Rattus norvegicus: one gene and its partners. Each later gene encodes a partner of the first gene's protein in a complex. Links are inferred from orthologs where the notes say so. Each region holds a gene or a part of one and is shown in the gene's direction. Other genes may lie near its edges.

Evidence for each region.
Region 2: the proteins of Prkaa2 (region 1) and Prkab1 are in contact, whole or in part, in a crystal structure (PDB 8BIK), measured with the Homo sapiens proteins. The link is inferred for Rattus norvegicus from reciprocal best matches to the Homo sapiens genes PRKAA2 and PRKAB1. Residues at the interface, in NP_006243.2 of Homo sapiens: Gly9, Val11, Lys12, Ile13, Thr21, Lys29, Lys31, Asn48, Arg49, Arg53, Asp56, Val58, Ile61, Lys62, Ile65, Gln66, Lys69, Val82, Ile83, Ser84, Thr85, Pro86, Thr87, Asp88, Phe89, Phe90, Met134, Met164, Ser165, Asp166; in NP_006244.2 of Homo sapiens: Pro79, Thr80, Val81, Arg83, Thr106, Ser108, Asn111, Val113, Ile115, Gln154, Val155, Asp159, Phe160, Glu161, Val162, Phe163, Ala165, Leu166, Asp169, Ser170, Lys172, Cys173, Pro186, Tyr187, His188, Gln189, Glu190, Pro191, Tyr192, Ala202.
Region 3: the proteins of Prkaa2 (region 1) and Prkab2 are in contact, whole or in part, in a crystal structure (PDB 6B2E), measured with the Homo sapiens proteins. The link is inferred for Rattus norvegicus from reciprocal best matches to the Homo sapiens genes PRKAA2 and PRKAB2. Residues at the interface, in NP_006243.2 of Homo sapiens: Gly9, Arg10, Val11, Lys12, Ile13, Thr21, Asn48, Arg49, Val58, Gln66, Gln81, Val82, Ile83, Ser84, Thr85, Pro86, Thr87, Asp88, Phe89, Met134, Met164, Ser165, Asp166, Gly167, Glu168, Phe169, Leu189, Ala191, Glu194, Pro253; in NP_005390.1 of Homo sapiens: Val60, Ser61, Gln64, Glu67, Asp68, Ser69, Thr73, Gln74, Ala76, Pro78, Thr79, Val80, Ile81, Arg82, Ile106, Ser108, Val113, Ile115, Val155, Ser158, Asp159, Phe160, Glu161, Phe163, Asp164, Lys167, Leu168, Gln191, Met193, Tyr194.

What each region holds. Positions count from the first base shown.
Region 1 is NC_086023.1:125,060,414-125,064,059, reverse strand, and holds part of Prkaa2 (5'-AMP-activated protein kinase catalytic subunit alpha-2), read left to right. Parts: intron 1-2,066; coding exon 2,067-2,160; intron 2,161-2,720; coding exon 2,721-2,865; intron 2,866-3,646. UniProt on the Homo sapiens protein: Catalytic subunit of AMP-activated protein kinase (AMPK), an energy sensor protein kinase that plays a key role in regulating cellular energy metabolism.
Region 2 is NC_086030.1:46,247,728-46,251,924, forward strand, and holds the start of Prkab1 (5'-AMP-activated protein kinase subunit beta-1), read left to right. Parts: upstream 1-1,367; 5' UTR 1,368-1,492; coding exon 1,493-1,651; intron 1,652-3,871; coding exon 3,872-4,035; intron 4,036-4,197. UniProt on the Homo sapiens protein: Non-catalytic subunit of AMP-activated protein kinase (AMPK), an energy sensor protein kinase that plays a key role in regulating cellular energy metabolism.
Region 3 is NC_086020.1:187,952,507-187,956,152, forward strand, and holds part of Prkab2 (5'-AMP-activated protein kinase subunit beta-2), read left to right. Parts: intron 1-1,869; coding exon 1,870-2,003; intron 2,004-2,631; coding exon 2,632-2,700; intron 2,701-3,646. UniProt on the Homo sapiens protein: Non-catalytic subunit of AMP-activated protein kinase (AMPK), an energy sensor protein kinase that plays a key role in regulating cellular energy metabolism.

The sequences.
Region 1 (3,646 bases):
ATGTGGCCCATTGGCTGACAAACAGCAAAGGGCTCCTACTCTAACACAGTCTCCATCAAGGTGGATTGCCTGGAGACTGGTGTCAGCTCCTTGGGTATTCTCCTGAGTAACTTGAAGCCAGCAACCTCTTTATTGCTGTATTTATCAGCCTTAAATAATAGCTCATTATGAAACTAACAGTACTCATAATCAACAAGACTATAGAGAATCCTTTGTAAAGAAAATAATGATGGGGGCTGGAGAGATGGCTCAGAGGTTAAGAGCACTGACTGATCTTCCAGAGGTTCTGAGTTCAAGTCCCAGCAACCACATGGTGGCTCACAACCATCTGTAATGAGATGCCAGCAGGCATACACTGTATGTATAAATACTGTATATTTAAACATAATAAATAAGTCTTAAAAATACAGATATAAATGTTGTTTTTTTAAAGTAGAACAGTATACATTTGTGTAAATGTTAGAAACAATCTTCATTTAAAACATCAGTATTGTTTTTAACTCATTTTCAAAATCTGATTTTGTAAGATTGTATGAGAAAGTAATAATTTTCAGAGAAAAACCTTATTTTGTAAAATTAAGCTGATTTCGTACTATTTGTTTAATAAGACTGTACTGGCTAGTTTGTGTGTCAACTTGACACAAGCTGGAGTTATCACAGAAAAGGAGCCTCAGTTGTGGAAATGCCTCCATGAGACCCAGCTGTAAGGCATTTCCTTAATTACTGGTCAAGGTGGGAGGACCCAGCCCATTGTGGGTGGTGCTGTCCTTGGGCTGATGGGCTTGGGTTTTTATAAGAGAGCAAGCTGAGCAAGCCAGGAGAGCAAGCCATTAAGAAACATCCCTCCATGGCCTCTGCATCAACTCTTGCTTCCTGCCCTGCTTGAGTTCCAGTCCTGACTTCCTTTAGTGGAAATAAGCTGAGAAAATCCTTTCCTCCCCAACTTGCTTCTTGGTCATGATGTTTGTTCAGGAATAGAAACCCTGACTAAGACAAAGACCAGCTTTAGGTGTCTGCACACATGTATATGTGTTTGTGTGTGCACGTGCTCACGCGCGCACACACACACACACACACACACACACACACACACACACTTTTATTGTAAAACTATTAAACATGTACTAAACTGAAGTGATGAGCCCATGTATCTGGAGTTCAGCTTCAGGGTCAGCAGTGTGTTGCTTTATCTCCTTCCCTCCACATTTTCTTACTAGAACATCTGAGGCAGATTCAAAGTATTTCTAATGTATCATTTTAAATGACATAAGCGGAGTGTCAGTATCACATCTAAAAATAAAAACACAATGAGTCTTATTAGTAATCTAGTCAGAGTTCAGTTTTCCGTAGTACGTGACAACTTCCTGTTGTTACACGGTGTGTGTATGTTTGAGACAAACCTTTACTGTGTAGCCCAGGGTAACTTCTAAGTCATTGATTTCTTCTACCGCAGACTTCTGAATACAGGAATACGCAGCTGTGCCACGCACTGGATTTGTTAATGTTTTTAAAGTTGGTTGAGTCAGAGCCAAAGCAAGTCTATGTGGTGTAGTTTTTCATCCTCGTGTTTCTTGGATTGATTCAGTATGTAGCTCCTCCCTCCAGCCACCTTTAAGAAAGAATGATTTGTCTACCTACTGAATTTTGTTGAATATATATATATATGCGATATATTTTTATATGTCTAAGAATACTCTAAGCATATAATACCTATCTTTATTGACTAAACAAGTTTGTTGAAATGGGAACATGCTTAACTTAGTTTGTGAAGATTTTAAAGGTAAGGAGAATCGTCTGTAAGTCTCAGGAAGTGGGATACTTCTTTTGTAATCTCCTTCCATGCTTTGGCACTGGAATTAGTTTGATAACACTGTAAAATCTGCTGCTGTCCTGCAATATGATACAAACATTAGAGTACGACGTTGTAACAACAGTAGCAGATGAGGTTGATTATTTGTGGGAGCGCCATTTTGTATTAACCTGCTCGCGCTCTCTCTCTCTCTCTCTCTCGCTCTCTCTCTTTCTTTCTTTCTTTCTTTCTTTCTTTTTTTTTATTTCCGAACAAGCTACCAAGTGATCAGCACTCCAACAGACTTTTTTATGGTAATGGAATATGTGTCTGGAGGTGAATTGTTCGACTACATCTGTAAACACGGGAGGGTGAGTGACATATTTTCTAGTGTATCTCTCAGCCCCAACGTAAGGCAGTGGAAAGAATTGCTAATAGCTAATCACAAAGATATTTTAAGTGCTTTAATTGTTTCTGTAACATCAACTGCACATGCAGGACGTATGTCCTTTCTTGAGAACTCTGCCTTTTGAGTAGTGAAACTATATCGCACTTAATCACCAAGTGATTCTTGTGCTTTTCCCAATCTGTTCTGTATAAAGTTACCTTGAAGCTTCAGTTATTTTCTTTTCTTAGAATTTTCATATAAGTTCTGTTTTAGTTGGTTTTACTGACTCCCCAAAACATTGTGCATATTTAATATTGGTTGAAAATTAAACATCATTGTCATGCAGCCAAGCAAAAAAAATCCCTTAGAATACTCTTTGAGCTTTGGTAAGGTTTTAGCTGCTTTGCTTTGTCTGACATGTTGGATTTCTAATTCGTCGATTTTAATTAGCCTGATCAGTTGTCTTCAGACTGGTTACAAACTGAAGTGCATAATAACTCATGTCCCGGATAGTCTTGATGCAGCTTCTCCTCTGCTCGCTAGGTTGAAGAGGTGGAAGCTCGCCGGCTCTTCCAGCAGATTCTGTCTGCCGTGGACTACTGTCACAGGCACATGGTTGTCCACAGGGACCTGAAGCCAGAGAACGTGTTGCTGGACGCCCAGATGAATGCTAAGATAGCTGACTTCGGTATGCCACTCCAGGGCTGCTCAGAGCTGTGTCGCACCTCTAAAATGGACCAGTGTCTGCCTTACAGAACTAAGAACTTTCCATTCACCCTCACAAATCCTCTACCACAAAAAGGGACTGATTGCAGTTCACACTGACCTATTTTGTTTATTTAAATTCACTTAAATAGTGCTGAAGTTTCTAGAAAACACATTAGAAAGCCACATCAAGACAGATCCATTCAACATGCCTTTCCTCTTAAGGCAATGGTACCTGTTGGGTTTTTTGTTTTTTTTGTTTTTTTTTTTTTTTTGGTTTTTGTTTTGTTTGTTTGTTTTTTTGGGACAGGGGTGATGATGGGAAGAGAAAGAGTCCCAAACTCCCTTGAAAAACTTGTTGACACACTGGATGTATTTCCTGATAAATGTAAATAGACAAGTGTGTGAACGTTTGTTCTCAGCTTTAAAAGCTTTGTGCTGCTTCTGAACTGATCTCGGAAAGACCTGTAAGTTTTAGGGCAGTATCTGATAACTTATGCATAAATCAGACACTAGTCCTTGGTAAGAGGCAAGGTAAAATGTACATTTTAAAATCAGCATACACTTTCTGGCCTAAGCATACTTGGAAAGGCTGCTGCAGTCTGTCTGTTTTGTGCCTGTCTTTAAACTAGCTTTACTATTTCTGTTTAAACCATTTCAGCAAGTAATTCAGCTGGGGTTTTGGTTCAGAAGATTGGTTTTACTATGTTGAATTGAAGCTCTCTAATTATAATAATTATAAACCTTTCCTAGGAAGTTGCAAC
Region 2 (4,197 bases), on another chromosome or scaffold:
AATTTCGGAGCGGTGAAGTATTTTGAAACGTGCACCTTAGCATTAGTGTAATAATTAGAAGCAGTGCTTCAGAAGAACATGCTTGTGTATTGCTTTCATGTGTGAAGTTTTATAGAAATTGTCCATAAAAATTTGTTTCCTTTTTCTTAGATACTGTTAAAGGCCCTCTAGAAGACTGTATGTCAGACATCAGGGTCCCTAGTTTTCTTAACAAAAATGTGTCACATTGCAGATAATTAAAAAATATATATATGACGGGCATGGTGGTGCACACCTTTAATCCTAATACTTGGGAAGCAGGGGCAGGCAGAGGTCTGTGAATTCGATGATAGCCTGGTCTACAAAGTGAGTTCCAGGACAGCCCAGGCTGTTATACACAGAAACCATGTATCGAAAAAACAAACAAAACCAAAACAACAACAAAACCCCGGAAACATAAGATATGGCCTAGGAAGTCCAATGTTTAAAAACTAACAATAAAAACAACAACAACAACCCACAAACAATGTTTTTAAAAAGGCTGGCTGTGAAGGTGAGAACATTCTATAACAAGAGTCTACACTTCTACGGAAGCACTAAGCACTACTACATTGTATGCATAATATAACCAATGTGGCTCCAAGGCACCTTGCAAAATGTCATATCAATGGGACAACTTTAATCAAACAACAGAAGCCCACTTATAACACCGACTTCCCAGAAATCAAGGTCTGTCATTTTGCTCAAACACCGGCAAGATGCTCTGCATCCTCCACCTTTGTCTACAGAAACTCTGACTTGGCCAGTCTGGAGAGGCTGTCCTTTCGAAGGAACACTAGGTTATCCTAATACACTCAATGGTGAGAGCCAGCGTATCTACAGGAGAGACCTAAACATGTGTTTTTACTTTTGTTTTCTTAAGATTATGTGTATGCATGCTCTGCCCGCCTTTATATGATCCCTGTCTTGGGCGCCGGGATCCCCTAGAACTTCAACTGCAAATAGTGCTGAGCCACCATTTAAGCGCCCGGAACCCAACCCAGGTACTCTTGGGATGAGGTCAGCATTGCTGTCAATGGCAACTTGCTCGGTCAGGAGCGGGAAGAGTCGAGCTCCGGAGCGCCTCCTGCCTGCCGTCAGGAAACTCGACCTGGGAGCCTCCCGGAACGACCCGCAGCGGCTGTGCGTGGAGCGGCTGGAGGAGGTCGTCCTCGGACGCTCGCGCCAAGAACGGAAGCGGAAGTGACATCACGCTAGCCTCCAGCGCTCCGTCCGCAGTGACCACCCTTCCTTCTCGGGGCCCGGCCGGAAGCGGAAGTTGCTAAGGGGTAGAGGGGAGTTGCCCGAGGAGTGTCAGGTTACGCTCCCGCTCTTGTCGGAGTTCCAGCCGCTGCGGTCCAAGCAGGTAAAGCGGGGCTCGGCGAACGCGCGCGACCCGAGGGGCGTGGTCCGCGGTCCCGGGGGTCCCGGCCCGGCCCTTCCCGCTTCCCTGTGTCCCCGCAGACACTTCGCCATGGGCAATACGAGCAGCGAGCGCGCCGCGCTGGAGCGGCAGGCTGGCCATAAGACGCCGCGGAGGGACAGCTCGGGGGGCACCAAGGATGGGGACAGGCCCAAGATCCTGATGGACAGCCCCGAAGACGCCGACATCTTCCACACCGAGGAAATGAAGGTGCTGAGTCGAGGGGCATCCGAGCCCTCTTGACTCAGGTTGAGGGCAGGGCCCCTTTGCTGTTGTTCCCGCCACATTCCTAGCCTCACACCTGGAGGGAGCTGGCCCTGTCACAGTCCACTTTGCTGCCCGGGAACCTGTCCCTAATTACCGATGGGAGAGCCACCCTGGGCTTCGTTGAACATCATTAAGGAGAAAGCAGCTCTGGGACCGAGTTTCAGATTCTTAATTAATTAAGAGTCGAGCTAGTTGTAATTGAACGCTAGTGTCTACTTTTCTCTTAGGTGTAATTGATTGCGCGGCTTCGCGACACTTTTTTCCCCCACAACTTCAGGCTGGCTGTTTTTTTGCAAAAGTTGGGTTGGGAGTTTTAGTGTTCGTTTTGAAGGTGCGAGGAGCACATATGTTAAGCTGAACGTGCAGTTGACTAGCTGACTTCTAGAGGTGCTTGGTTTTGATGGTTTCAGGCTATTCTGCTAACTCTATTTTAGATCCAGCAATTCCACTTGAGGTCAGTGGCCAAGAGTCTCTTTGAACAGCAGCCAGCAGCTAACTACCCCACTACTCTCCTGCTTTACTGACATAATGCCTTGGACTTTAAGCAGACCAGAGCAAACAATTCTTGCAGGCCAAGCAGAAAGTTCCTGCTTGAACCACATTCTCTTAAAACCACAGTGCTTCCGGCTATGGGGCCCAGTCCAAGGGCATTCAGTTGATTCTAGAAGAGAAAAGCTAATTCCTCAGAATAAACTGCATTCAGGAAGGTTGACGCTGACCAGCAGAGCCTCTGTTACCTGGCTTGTTGCCTACCAATCCCCATTACTAAAACAGGCTAATTGCCTGGCCACTCACTCTGTTTTTACTCCCCCACCTCCACCCACCCCCAGATTGGGCTGAGGACCCACGTTACTGTTTCTGCTTTTATGACACTTGTCTGTGATAGGAGCTTGTTTTCTGAGCTTGGTGTGTTAGGGGAAAGGTGCGTACAGTGATCTTTAGCATGTTTCCTGGGAGTTGATCTGTCCCCACCCCTAGAAGTCGTTTTGGCCCAAGGCTGTTTAAGAGGAAGTGAAAGGTATTTGTGTTGGGGCAGGTGTGTGTATATCCCTGGTGCCCTCTGCTCTCTTTCCAGTGAGCTGGATAAACTTACTTTTCTTTTTAAAAAGAAATGCGTGGTGTTGCTGTTCTCTACAGGGTCAGGGAAGATGGACGGGCTTACCCGACATCCTCTCTTTTCATCAGTAGTGACTGATGGGTCAAGTCAGATTCTTCCCATTACCCCAGTTCAACCTTGTAGCTACACTTAGTTGTCCTCCACAGCAGTGGTTGCCACCCTTCTGGAGTTCTAGGGGGTCGGCATAACAGACACACTGGGTACCTGATCTTTACATCGTGATCCTTGACAGTAGCTAAGTTACAGTTGTGAAGCTGGATCATCTTATGGTTGAGGTCAGTACTACATTGGGAAGGTTAAGCAGCACTGCCCTAGAGCAATTCTGGCATGTTATCTGATCTGTGTAGTTTAGATCCAAGGACTGCAGGGATCTTTTAGATAAGAGCAGATCAGTATCTGCGGTGGATAGAAGCTTCCTGGACTTCCTTCAGGGCTTTCCCCTACCAGAGAAGCCCAGTGTTTGGCTTTTCCTCTAACTGAGGAGTAGAAATGGTCTGTATGTAACTGCGTCTCGCCCCAGGATTGGATGTGTCCCTTTATCTCTGTCTGGAGTTAGTTACTCTGTCCTACTCACATCTTGCCATAGTGAAGGGACCAGTGTGTTTTATCTATCTAGTTCTCTATACCCCAGCTCTTCCCTCACCGTCTGATTGTGCCAGCTTTAACAGCTCTGCGGTTGCCCCTAGTAAATTCTTACGTACTTCTTGCTTAACAAGGGAAGTGGAGTGTATTAAGGTCACCTTGGACTCATGGTGGTCTTCTGAGGAGGCCTTGTAGCCACCTCTAGAGATTTTGTGAAGTCTGACTGCAGTAACAGTAGCAAATGGCTAAGCACCATGTGGGTCAGACTATCTCCGTCTTCACGATACCACAGAAGCGGTAGTTTTTATTATCTCCCTTTGACAGGTAGGGGACAGACACAAGTCATATGCCATGGGGATGAGCACCTCGGCCTGATCGGACTGCAGTGGTCTCTTAGGTTAACAGCCGGGGTGGGGAGCTCACTGCTGTCTGCCTGACCCTGAGTGAACGCCTCTGCCTCTTAGGCTCCAGAGAAGGAGGAGTTCCTGGCGTGGCAGCACGACCTCGAGGTGAATGAGAAAGCCCCCGCCCAGGCTCGGCCCACCGTATTTCGATGGACAGGGGGTGGAAAGGAGGTCTACTTGTCTGGATCCTTCAACAACTGGAGCAAATTGCCCCTCACTAGAAGGTACTGGCTTGCAACATGGTCTCTTGTCTTAGCTGTGTCTCTTGTCTTAGCGGTGGATGTGTTCTGGTTTCTAAATGATCTATGTCTGTGGGTGACCAGCGTGTGGGTATCTTTGTAAGACAGATGCTGAGTGAGGAAATACTTAATGAGTTAGAGAGTTCA
Region 3 (3,646 bases), on another chromosome or scaffold:
CCATTGTACTCCAGCTCCCAGCAGTAAACTCACGGGCTTGGACCCTCAGTGAGCCTCAGTCATAATAACTGAGGCAGACCCCATAGCAGAATCTCTAGGACAGGGGACAAATAGTCCACAGCACAGTAACTACCTACTTAGATTTAGTTATAACCTCAGAAAGTCAACCTGAGCATCCTCACTGGCGGGAGGGGCAGTGGTCTTAAAAGGTTTCTGAGGCCACTAGATCTGTGATTATCTTATGATCTGCAAGTAACCAGTGGGTATGGCAATGAGTCATGAAGGTGTAGCTGGAGGACACACACTTTAGGTCACTCGGTTTCCTAAGCCAGTGGTGTGAGGCGGAGACGTTAATTAGGGGCGTGCAGGTAGTGAGTGTGGCCGTGTGTGTGACTTTTCACCATTCATCTTGTCCTTTCAGTAGAAAGGATGAGAGAACATTGCCCTGTGTTAGCTCCCAATGGTGCTTTGTGGATAAAGTGACCAGAACAACTGAAAATTCCTGGAAAAGTTCTCTGTTCTGTCTATTTTTGAGGTTTTGTTTAATAACACAGCATTGTTCTACCTTATATGTTGAAGCAAATCTGAGTTATTAAAGTGAACCATTACTAGAATGTTTTCTCTGGAGCTATAATGTAAAAATGTTAAAACAGTGAAAACATAGTTCATTTAATTTTATAGATTTAACCTTTTCATTTTTAAAGTATAATCCAGATACCACGAAACACATCTTTTTATATTGTACAATTTATCCATGCTTTTTTTAGTATATCGAGTTTTAGAACTGTTGTCACCTCAAAATATGGACTGCCTCCATCCCTTCCTCCTGGCCCTGCGCCTGTCACCAAGAGTCTGCTGCCTGATCTGCCTGTTCCGGGCACCTCCTCTAATGTAACCAGACACTGTGTGGCTTCTTTCACTCTAGCAGGCTCCGGGGCTCGTCCTTGTTGAAACAAGTGTCGGTACTTTGCCTCTGTTTATGGCTGAGCAGAAGTGCATGGTATGACAGTCCCTTTGTGGTTCTCCATTCATTGTTGACAGACATTTGGGTTTTGCTTGCTCTTCGGAGCCATCATAAATATTGATTATGAACACTCATGCTCAGGCTTTTGTGTGGGCTTACATTTTATCTTAGGTGTTACATCCAGTAATGTACTGTAATGAATGACTGGGTTACAAAGTTTAACAGTTTGAAGACAACCATACTGTTTTCCAAAGTGTCTATACTATTGTACATATCTGCCCACAGTGGGAGTTCTGTAGTTTGAAGCTTCGAGTTTCTCTACATTTTTGCCAATATTTGCCATTTCAGTGGCAGCCATCCCAGTGAGTATGAAGTGTGTCACATTATGGTTGGACATCTGTACTTTCTTGATTACATCTGCATTTGTTCTGTCCACTGCAATCACTGTACACTTATAGTGTGTAACATTGTTGTCTGTGGCTTTGGTAGGGAAAAATATGGAATCTAATCTTTTCACACTGAGTCCACAACACCATTTTAACCACTGTCACTTTTATTTCCCCTAAAGCATTGAAGGTTAGGAAGATATTTATCTGTGAATGAACACACTGACCATATCAAAGGGATCTGTCCAAGGTCAGATGGCTGACAAATGGGTTGGTTTCCTTGAGCCTAGGTCCTGACCGCTCAGCTTTTCCTTACATCATGTTCCCTTGTGGGAAAGCTTCCTGGTCCATGTGGAGGTTGATTTCCTTTCCAGCCTGACAGCGCCAGTTCCAGTAGGCCACAGGTTCTTGCGTTCCAGGACTTGTACTGCATTTAAGATTAGTGGCCGCAATGCAAGCTTCCCCATGCATTCTCACTAACCTTCAACTTTCCTTCACATTTGCATAAATATTTTTCAGACCTGTCCAGCTCACCCCCAGGGCCTTATGGTCAAGAAATGTATGTGTTTCGATCTGAGGAGAGATTCAAATCCCCACCCATCCTGCCCCCTCACCTCCTCCAAGTTATTCTTAACAAGGACACTAATATTTCAGTGAGTATACTGAGCAGGTTGCTAGAGCATCTGGGGATCTCTAGGACCATCAAGGCCAGAATTAGTAACATTGGGCTAGAATTATGACAAAGATGTGTCATAATTACGGTGATAAGACCATGTGTGCATCTGTGCATGGGGGCTTCCTTTTCCTAGATTGAACTGTAACTTCTTTAGGTACCAGTAGCAGAATTTATGGATGTTTCTGTTTCTGGTTAAATCAGAACCAAACTGCTAGAATTGATCTGTATTGTGACTTATATTATAACCCAAAATAAGGGGTACTCTCATTGGGGATATACAGAAATTCACAACTTTATATTAAATATTTTTAACCACGGTTTCACTTAGTTGATAATTGATAGTTCCTAGGAAGATTTTTTTCCCTTTAACCCAAACCATCTATATTTCTAAGCAAAGTTTTCGTTTTAAATTCTCTTAAAGAAAATTAGCAGATGTTGGGGCTTAGCATTTCTGCCCTAGACTAGGGATTTTTTGATTTTCTGGTCTGGGAATGCATGACTTGTAGGAGACAAAGTGATCCTATTTAGAGTTCTCAACAGTCTAGAGAGTACACTGTTTGGTTTTTCTTCGTTAGTCACATTTGGGGGGTTGTCTTTTCTCCTAGTGTGACCCAGCCTTACTTCCTGAGCCCAATCATGTTATGCTGAACCATCTCTATGCGCTGTCCATTAAGGTAAGTGGTAGCCCTGGTCTTCCACAGCCTCCCAAGTGGAAGGGTAAGGGTCCCTCAAGCTCATCAGTGGTAACTCACTCGCTGCTGCTTTTAAAGCTGCGCCTGGCACTGAGAGAGTATAGGGGAGCTGTCTCTTCCTGACTCGAAGGCTGTTGAGTTTAAACCTTAGTCTCTGGTCTGTGTTCGGGCTGAGCTGTCAGTCATGGGGCCTTTCTGCTTCTAAGTTCCCTTGGGTGGCTGGACCCTTTGTCTCATCTCTTTACTTAAGCTTGAGTTCATAGTGGCTGGATCCCATCTGCAGAACAAACTTCAGCATCTGCTTCCTTCAACAAATGCTTGAATGAGACATAAACTTTACCTTTTAAAATGGGGCGTCAAGCTGCCTGGCCGCGTCCTAGTTGTGTCTGCCCAGGTGTTTCCATCTCTTACGTAGGAAGGGATTCCTGACTGGAGGTTCCTATTTCCCACCCCTTGGTTTCTCCATTGCTTTAGTGTCTTTGTGACTTGGCTGTTGACATAAATGTGTAGTTCTGTGACTGTCTACACACTGAACTCCTTGGAGAAGTGGTGAGCCTTCAGATTGAGTGGTCTCATCCCCAGAGATTGGGCATAAGCACATGCAGGGTGCTCCCTGTAGTTTCCCTATAAGCTGCTCGTATTTCTTAAATGTGCAGCTAGAGCAAAGAGATTCAGCCTCACTTCTAATAGAGCTGACTTTAATAAGAGTGTGGTCATATATAAAATATTAACTTGCTGAATTTCATCTTTACGGTAACCTTGAGAGGTAAGTATTATTATTTTTGACCCCTGTCTTATAGAGACTAAGACTCAGTGAAGTCAGATTGCCAGTGAATATAAGACAGGCCTGAGGTTCTGACCTCTCAGCTTTGCCTGTGAGCTTTCCTGTCTGTCACCACACAGGTCTGCTCACCTTTCTCTCACCTGC